2 linked regions of the Coturnix japonica genome follow. Each later gene encodes a partner of the first gene's protein in a complex. Links are inferred from orthologs where the notes say so. Each region holds a gene or a part of one and is shown on either strand. Other genes may lie near its edges.

Region 1 (3,654 bases):
GATCTCCTCAGTCTGGTAAAACTATGTAATGAGTCTTCTGATTTTAAGAGGGCTCCGGGGTATTAAGACTTATCTTTGCATCCAATTATGAAGAATGAATTGTAAGTGCCAATTACGAAGGAACTGAGATTATAAAAGTTTACTTTAATGTAGTTAGGAATAATCAAAAATCGTATAACAAGCTTCTCTCTTGAAATCTTACCTTAAATCAAGCCTGATAAAAAGCTTTCTCATTTTACTTGGATGGTGAACTACAGCCTTCACAGTTGTGGTTGCTGACTTGGTTTGTTGTAACAAGTAAATGAAAATTAATCATCTGGAAAAGCTGCTCTGCTTTAGGTGTTGGCTATTTTGCATCCCCGAAATAATGAGTTGGTGTATCTGTGTGGGATTGTTTTCTTGTTTCTTTTAAGCCCTTGAGTGGTGACACTGACCTATTTGTGCTGAGGGAAAACACCATTTTGGTGCCTCTGTTGTGACAATGAAGCGTAGCATCCCGCAACTGCAAAAAATAAACGTGAGTAGCTCTGAGCGACAAATAGTGTCAGTGCAGAGAACTTACTCAAACAGGGTAAAAATAAAAACTTGAAGAGAATCTGTTGCCTCTCAGCTGTTTCCAATTAGTGTGCTTTCACATCCATCTGTAAAGCTATCATGGCCTTTTATCAGGGAGTGTGAAGACATGACAAGGAATAATGGCTTTTAAGCTACAAACCAGTAGGTATCACTTAGATATCAGTAGTTCTACTCTGTGAGTGTGGTGATGTGCTTCCCCGAGGAGCTGTGTGTGCCCCAACCCTGCAGATGCTCAGGGCATTGGACAGGGCTTGTGGATACCTGTTCTAGTGGAAGATGTCCTTATTTTCTTTCCAGCTGCATTTTCAGCTCGCCACAATTGCCTTTTTACAGCTGCTGTTACAGGATTGCTCTGTCCTATGGTTGTGCTGTGGTTTTGTACTGTGCAGTCTGTGCTGTAGGGTAGTAGCAACTTCAGCTTCAGAACTTGTCTGTAGCTTGCCAGAATTATTTGCTAGTCCGTCTGTGTCTCTGAATCTTTTGATCTACCAGGGTTGGTGCTGTCAGATAAGGTCATGGTGCTCTCCGAAAGCTGTTTTGACCATATTTTGTGTCAAATCCCTGACACAAAAATTAGTAGTGACTTTTGAATACAGTTTTCTCATGATTTTGTAATGATGTCAGCATTTCTGTGACTAAAAAATGTTTTGCAGCTTTATAATACATTATTATTACTGTAAAAGTTATTGGTATATCTATAACCTTTTGACTTTCAGAGCCTGAAAGTGCCTGGAGTTATTGGAACCGGCTGCCCAGGGAAGTGGTGGAGCCACTGTCCATGGAGGTTCTCAAGAAGCATGTAGATGTGGCAGTGATGGACATGGTTTATTGAGCATGGTGGTGATAGATTGATGGCTGGACTGGGTGAACTTAAGTGGTCTTTTCCAACCTGTATGGTTCTATGTCGTTAAACACAGAATTCAGATTGATGCTTTCCATTTTGAAGAATGATTCTGGTTTGTGTCCACCAGTGATATTTTCTATGAACTTCGTCCTCGTAAATGCCCGCGAAGCTGCTAACATTATTTTGCAGAGTAACTCTTAGTAATATATGGTATTGCTTTTCTTTGTGCATGCTCGGTATCGTACACTAGGTGTCACCATTGATCCATTTTGAGAACTCACTTCACTTGTCACTGGGATCGTAGAATCATAGAATGGCCTGGATTGAAAAGGACCACAATGAACATCCAGTTTCAACCCCCCTGCTTTGTGCAGGGTCACCAACCAGCAGACCAGGCTGCCCAGAGCCACATCCAGCCTGGCCTTGAATGCCTCCAGGGATGGGGCATCCACAACCTCTTTGGTGTTATAGAGATAGAGGAGTTGGTAGCTTTGAGTCTTATTGCAGAGAAGTTTCTTCTTGGCTGCCTGATTTCTAAGCAAGATTCTCATTCATAATGGGGAAGGAGCAATTGCGTGGGCCTTGTGCAGATATATTGGCAAGCTACAGTAGTGTATATTGTCAGTGGCTTACCAAGTTTGGTTGTACTTGAAACCTAATGGGGATTAACCTTTCACTGAATTCTGCCCCATTTGTTGACAGTTTGAATATTTTGTGATTTGTGGGACTCATAAATACTGAGAGTTTAGGTTTGCTTTCAAAGTGGTGATAACATTTAATTTGATAAATCAGTAGATTTTGGAAGTGGTGTATTTTTATGTTTGTATAGTGCACCTGTATATCATGCTAATTATCACCCATAAAACATGAAAGTCTGTAGCAATTTGTAGCTGTTCTGACTTACACTTCACAGTACTGATAACTAACTAAATTGTTCAGAAAAAGCATCTTTGCAGTTCTTGTTAGCTCTTCACAGAATCACCAAGGTTGGAAAAGACCTACAAGATCATCCAGTCCAACCATCCACCCATCACCAACAGTTCTCACTAAACCATGTCCTTCAACACAATGTCCAAACATTCCTTGAACACCTCCAGGGTCGGTGACTCCACCACCACCCTGGGCAGCCCATTCCACGGCCTGACCACTCTTTCAGAGAAGTATTGTTTCCTAACATCCACTATAACTACCCTTCAGGTAGTTATAGAGTTATAGAGTAATAAGGTCTCCCCTGGGCCTCCTCTTCTCCATTCCCAGCTCCTTCAGCTGCTCCTCAGAAGGATTTCAGCAGCAAGCTGAAGATTTCCTGGCAGGGGTTGGCATGACTGGCTGTGTGCAAACATGCAAACATGGCCTTCTGTGGTGGAGATGCCTATTACATTTTTTCTTTCTTTTTTTTTCCTGTTACTCAGATACATGCTTGAAAATTGTCTTTAAAAAACAGTTTCATTTTCTTTTCCCTTTCAATTTCAGCTCTCAGAAGAAGAAAAAATCCAGCGTTACAGCATTCTTTCAGAGCTGTATGAACGAATTGGTTTTCACCGCAAGTCTGCTTTCTTCAAGCGTATCGCAGCAATGCAGTGTGCTGCACCCAGCATACCAGAGCCTGGCTGGAGGGCCTGCTACAAATTGCTTTTGGAAACACTCCCTGGTTATAGCTTATCATTGGATCCTAAAGATTTCAGCAAAGGTAAATGTCTCTGGGGGAGCATGTATTTGCTTACGGTGTCACTCAGCTGGCTTTATATAACTAACTTCCTTGTGAAGTGTCAAATAAAACCCCAATCCTTTACCTATCTGAAATTAATTGTGGCAGAGTAGCTCTTCAAAACGGCACCTTTGCTTTTTGCTGGTGTTGCTACCGATAGTTTGGAATTTCTGAGAGCTGCTGCTGGAGGTATTGCTGTGTTCCTGTGTTTGTAGCAAATGTGTTTTATTAATGAGAGCTTCTCTTCTGCTGTTTCAGAATGTGATTTTGTGCTTGTCAGTACAAAAAAGGTCATGTTTTATTTCGAAATATTTTTTTAATTATGTGCTTTCAACTTTGTGTTTCAGAAATTGTATTCATTTCAGTATGGCTTATAATCAAAGAATGAAGGATTCTTTTATATTTTTATTCATAGACACACTCAAACAAATCTAGATGTAATTACGTGTGTGTGTGTGGTTGCATTTGTATCTGTAAGGTCATGTTTCTCCACAGATTAAATCAATGTGATATAATCTGTAAGACT
Region 2 (3,654 bases), on another chromosome or scaffold:
CGCTTGTTGTAGAGCAGCAGTGAATGTTTCATCTGTTCACTGGAATTCTTTCTGTTATTCTCTGACCCGATGAATCCCCAGATTCTCCCCTTTCTAAGTAAGGCTGAGTTATGATGTTGGAGATGTTGCTCTGTGGGCTTCCAAAGGAATATTGTTAAGTATCCCAAGATGTTCCCTTCTTCGTGTCAGATAAAGGGAAAGCAGACTAATCTACTTCTTTCATGGCTTTGTTAGTGCTCATTCTAAACGTTTTTTCCCCACAGATGTTTTGTTAGGTGTAACTCTTATTAGCGAACATTTGCACTTTTTTTTCTCTTTGCCACCTCCACTTCCTGCCAGTAAAGCTATCTATTTCTATTTGTATTAAGTAGTATTTCTTTGGGTGGAAATACTGTCTTTGTCATTGTTATTACATTCATCATGCTTTTTATTTTATTGTATTCAGATAAATTATCAAGGCTTTTCAAATAACAGAGCAGGGAAGAGTCTAAAAACACAAGCTCAAGCTAAGGCAATTCATAACTGTCTCCAGCTTTTTGAAGGCAGGGCTACATTGTTAAGGATTAACAGTTCTTTATAAACATTAAAGAAACAAACAGTGGACTACATATTCATGTACAGAGTTTCTGATTCTAGTTGTATTGACATTTAAATTGATGTTTTTGTCTGAACTTATAGTTGTTGTTCAGTGCTCCCTTCCATTGTTTCCATCCACATCCTCTGTTGTGTGGCAAATAGAACTTGAGTTGTGATCTCCTTTAGCCTGTAGTCATCCCTCCTTAGCGAAATCACAGGTCTGGTACTTCATCCCTTATTCTCTCTGTGTTGCTCTGCTACTGAATGTATTTATCTCCTGTTCTCTGACCTTCTCTTGCTCTGGTTGATTTTACTCCTTGTCCTGATTGTGCAGCATATACCTCTTACATCCTCATTCGCTTTGTACTGTATTCAGTGCTCTGGGCCTTTTTGTCTCTCCTTTCCCTGTGACTTGTCATTAGGCTCTTATCTTGTGGACACAAGCTTGACCATCACTTTTATAATCCAGGTAGCTTTTGTTCTTTGGATAGAATGAGGAAACCTAGTGTACTTTCATTATCTTCTTACACTTTACAGCCTTTTGCCTTCCTTCCTTTCCTCTTTCCCCCATCTAGCCCAGACAAGAAAGGTTCTGACCTATTAAGACTTACCTCAGGAACCTCTGCAAGGTTTGCTTGCTTTGACTGACTCATCTCCGTTTTCTACTGCCTTGTAAAATCCTGACAACTTTTCAATTGAATTTCTTACCTTAAATATTAGAGACTGTTGTAATCAGTACATAAGGATCTCAAAGCTACTTTGTTTCGTGCTACATCTCCGTGAGGTTTTGTGTGAAGAGTTTTTGTCTGCGTGTACTTACAGTGTGTGGTAACTTTCAGAAGACTGTAGTAATATTTCAAGCACTTTTGCCGACCGTAACATAAGCATGTTTTAAAGTAACTTACTTAGAAGTTATTCAGATCCCTTCTATGTGAGAGAAACTTAGTGAAACTTATGGGCAACTTTGTTGCAGGTTGGAAAACGCATTCTATGAGCATGCGCAGACTTATTATTATACAGAAATACGAAGAGTCAAATCTCATAAGGAATTCTTGAACAAAACCACTCACCAGGTAATGTTTACTCCATTTTTGCAATATCGTTCAAGTTGAATTGCATGTTGAAAGAGGAAAATAAGGGCTGTTTGTTGCTTAAACATTTTTATTCCACTCCTTGCTGCCATCCAACTTAAGAGTCCTTCTGTCTTGGTGTAGAAAGTTAATTTGCTTTTGTTTTCTGCAAGCTAAACTTTGATTTTGATTGGTTCTGCTGCAGTTTTTATCTACCTCACATTTTAAAGGAGAAACTATAGCCCAAGAATGAAGTTCTCCTATTTCAAAAGAACAAACAATTATCTATATGATTTAACCAATTTGAATGTAGTATCTTATCAAGCTGTGGGAAATTCTGTCATTACCAGCTTCATACTTGATCTGATGTTTAGCTTTTGCTTTTTAATTTGTCAGATATTTACTTAGGTACACGACTGCTGTTAGGTTTGCTAGTCTCCCTCTTTCTATTTTGGAAACCGGGGTCCAACAGTCATGCTCTGAAGCAACATGCAGAAATTCTTGTGTTACTGAGCTTCTCCCCTTTTCCAGAGTGAGAAGCTTAATGTAGATTCAGTCTGTTGGAAGACTGATTACTACTGTGTCATGGAGTCACAGAGAACTAGGAAATAATTGCACAGTCAGCCTTTGAAGTCAATGGCTCTATTCTGTAAACTTCTGAAACTATTAACTGTATCTGCTTCATAGTTAAAAGACATGTTCAGATGATTGTGAATGATATGTGCTGGTTGTGTTTTGCAGCTTCTATTTGTTAGACACCAGTTCAAAATAGCATTCTTCAGTGAGCTGAAGCAGGATACACAAAATGCTCTCAAGTAAGACTTGTATTATCTTCCCACATCCTCTCAACCCCAAATTATCAGTCTATTGCTTAGCGTTAGATTTTTTTTCTCAAATACAAAATTAGTTAAATGTATAAGTAAGTAATACCTTCTTAATTGGGAAGGACACTCCAATTAGACTGTTTACTGCTGTAAGTAATCATGTTCTTGAATTGTATTATCTTGTATGAATTAACTCTAATTTAAGTATTTATACTTAGAAATTACAGGACTGCATATAATCTTGTACATGAATTAAGGGCTCATGAAACAAACATGCTGGAAATCAAGACCATGGCAGGATTTATAAACTACAAGGTAACAAGCATTCTTCTTAACTTTGACAGCCTGTACTTCAAATAAGTATATAATTTAATTAGTTAGTGCATCTTTAATGTTTAATCCTTTTAGTGTTCTGTTTTGGTTTCTTGTTTGTTTTGCTAAGGAGATAGTTTAGAAACAGCCATCAATGCGATACCAGTTACACTCAGGCTTGTGAAGACTGAATTCCACACAAAAAGATCCTTAGCAGAAGATAAGGAGTGTCTTGAAGATTTGCAGTTAATTTTAGGTGCAGTCATTTTGAAGACTAAACTGCTTTGACTCTCTGTGCAGGGGGAATGAAAATAAGTAACTCTTGTTTCTTGAGTGTTTTTGTTATAAACTTAAACTGTGGTAGTTTAGTTACTCCTTGTTTGGAGGAGGAAGATAGCCCTTTAAAGCAATCCTTTAAGAATCAGTTCATACTTTGTTGACATTCTGGGGGGTTTTAGGTGAGGTGGTACTGTTATACCATTTAAAATAATCCTGAGGATGGACTCCAAGTTTCATCATCCTTCTTGAAATGACTACAGGCTTCAAAGTTAATGTTCTTTCTAGTGGCTCCATTCAGCTCCACCCTGAATTGGCTGAATTTTCTTTCATTGATTATGTGAGGGAGGAGGGAATAAAAATAACATTAGATGTATTGGAGAGCCACATGGTTTCAGGTTTCATTTTACATCTGTTTTTCTTCCTCTGTTTCCCATCCTATTTGTACTCTTGAGAAATACGATAAATTAGTATAGTTTGTGTTTTTTGGTTTCTTCTAGATCTGTCGTCTGTGTTTTCAACACAATACTCCACTGGATGCAATTGCTCAGTTTAGGAAACACATAGACTTATGCAAGAAGAAAATAGGAAGTGCT

What was found. The genes of interacting proteins can lie anywhere in the genome.
Region 2: TRAPPC9 (region 1) and TRAPPC11 share a complex: the UniProt entries of both Homo sapiens proteins name them as parts of the multisubunit TRAPP (transport protein particle) complex. The link is inferred for Coturnix japonica from reciprocal best matches to the Homo sapiens genes TRAPPC9 and TRAPPC11.

What each region holds. Positions count from the first base shown.
Region 1 is NC_029517.1:131,104,211-131,107,864, reverse strand, and holds part of TRAPPC9 (trafficking protein particle complex subunit 9), read left to right. Parts: intron 1-2,893; coding exon 2,894-3,110; intron 3,111-3,654. UniProt on the Homo sapiens protein: Functions as an activator of NF-kappa-B through increased phosphorylation of the IKK complex. May function in neuronal cells differentiation. May play a role in vesicular transport from endoplasmic reticulum to Golgi.
Region 2 is NC_029519.1:35,209,277-35,212,930, reverse strand, and holds part of TRAPPC11 (trafficking protein particle complex subunit 11), read left to right. Parts: intron 1-1,549; coding exon 1,550-1,649; intron 1,650-2,387; coding exon 2,388-2,461; intron 2,462-2,688; coding exon 2,689-2,785; intron 2,786-3,558; coding exon 3,559-3,654. UniProt on the Homo sapiens protein: Involved in endoplasmic reticulum to Golgi apparatus trafficking at a very early stage.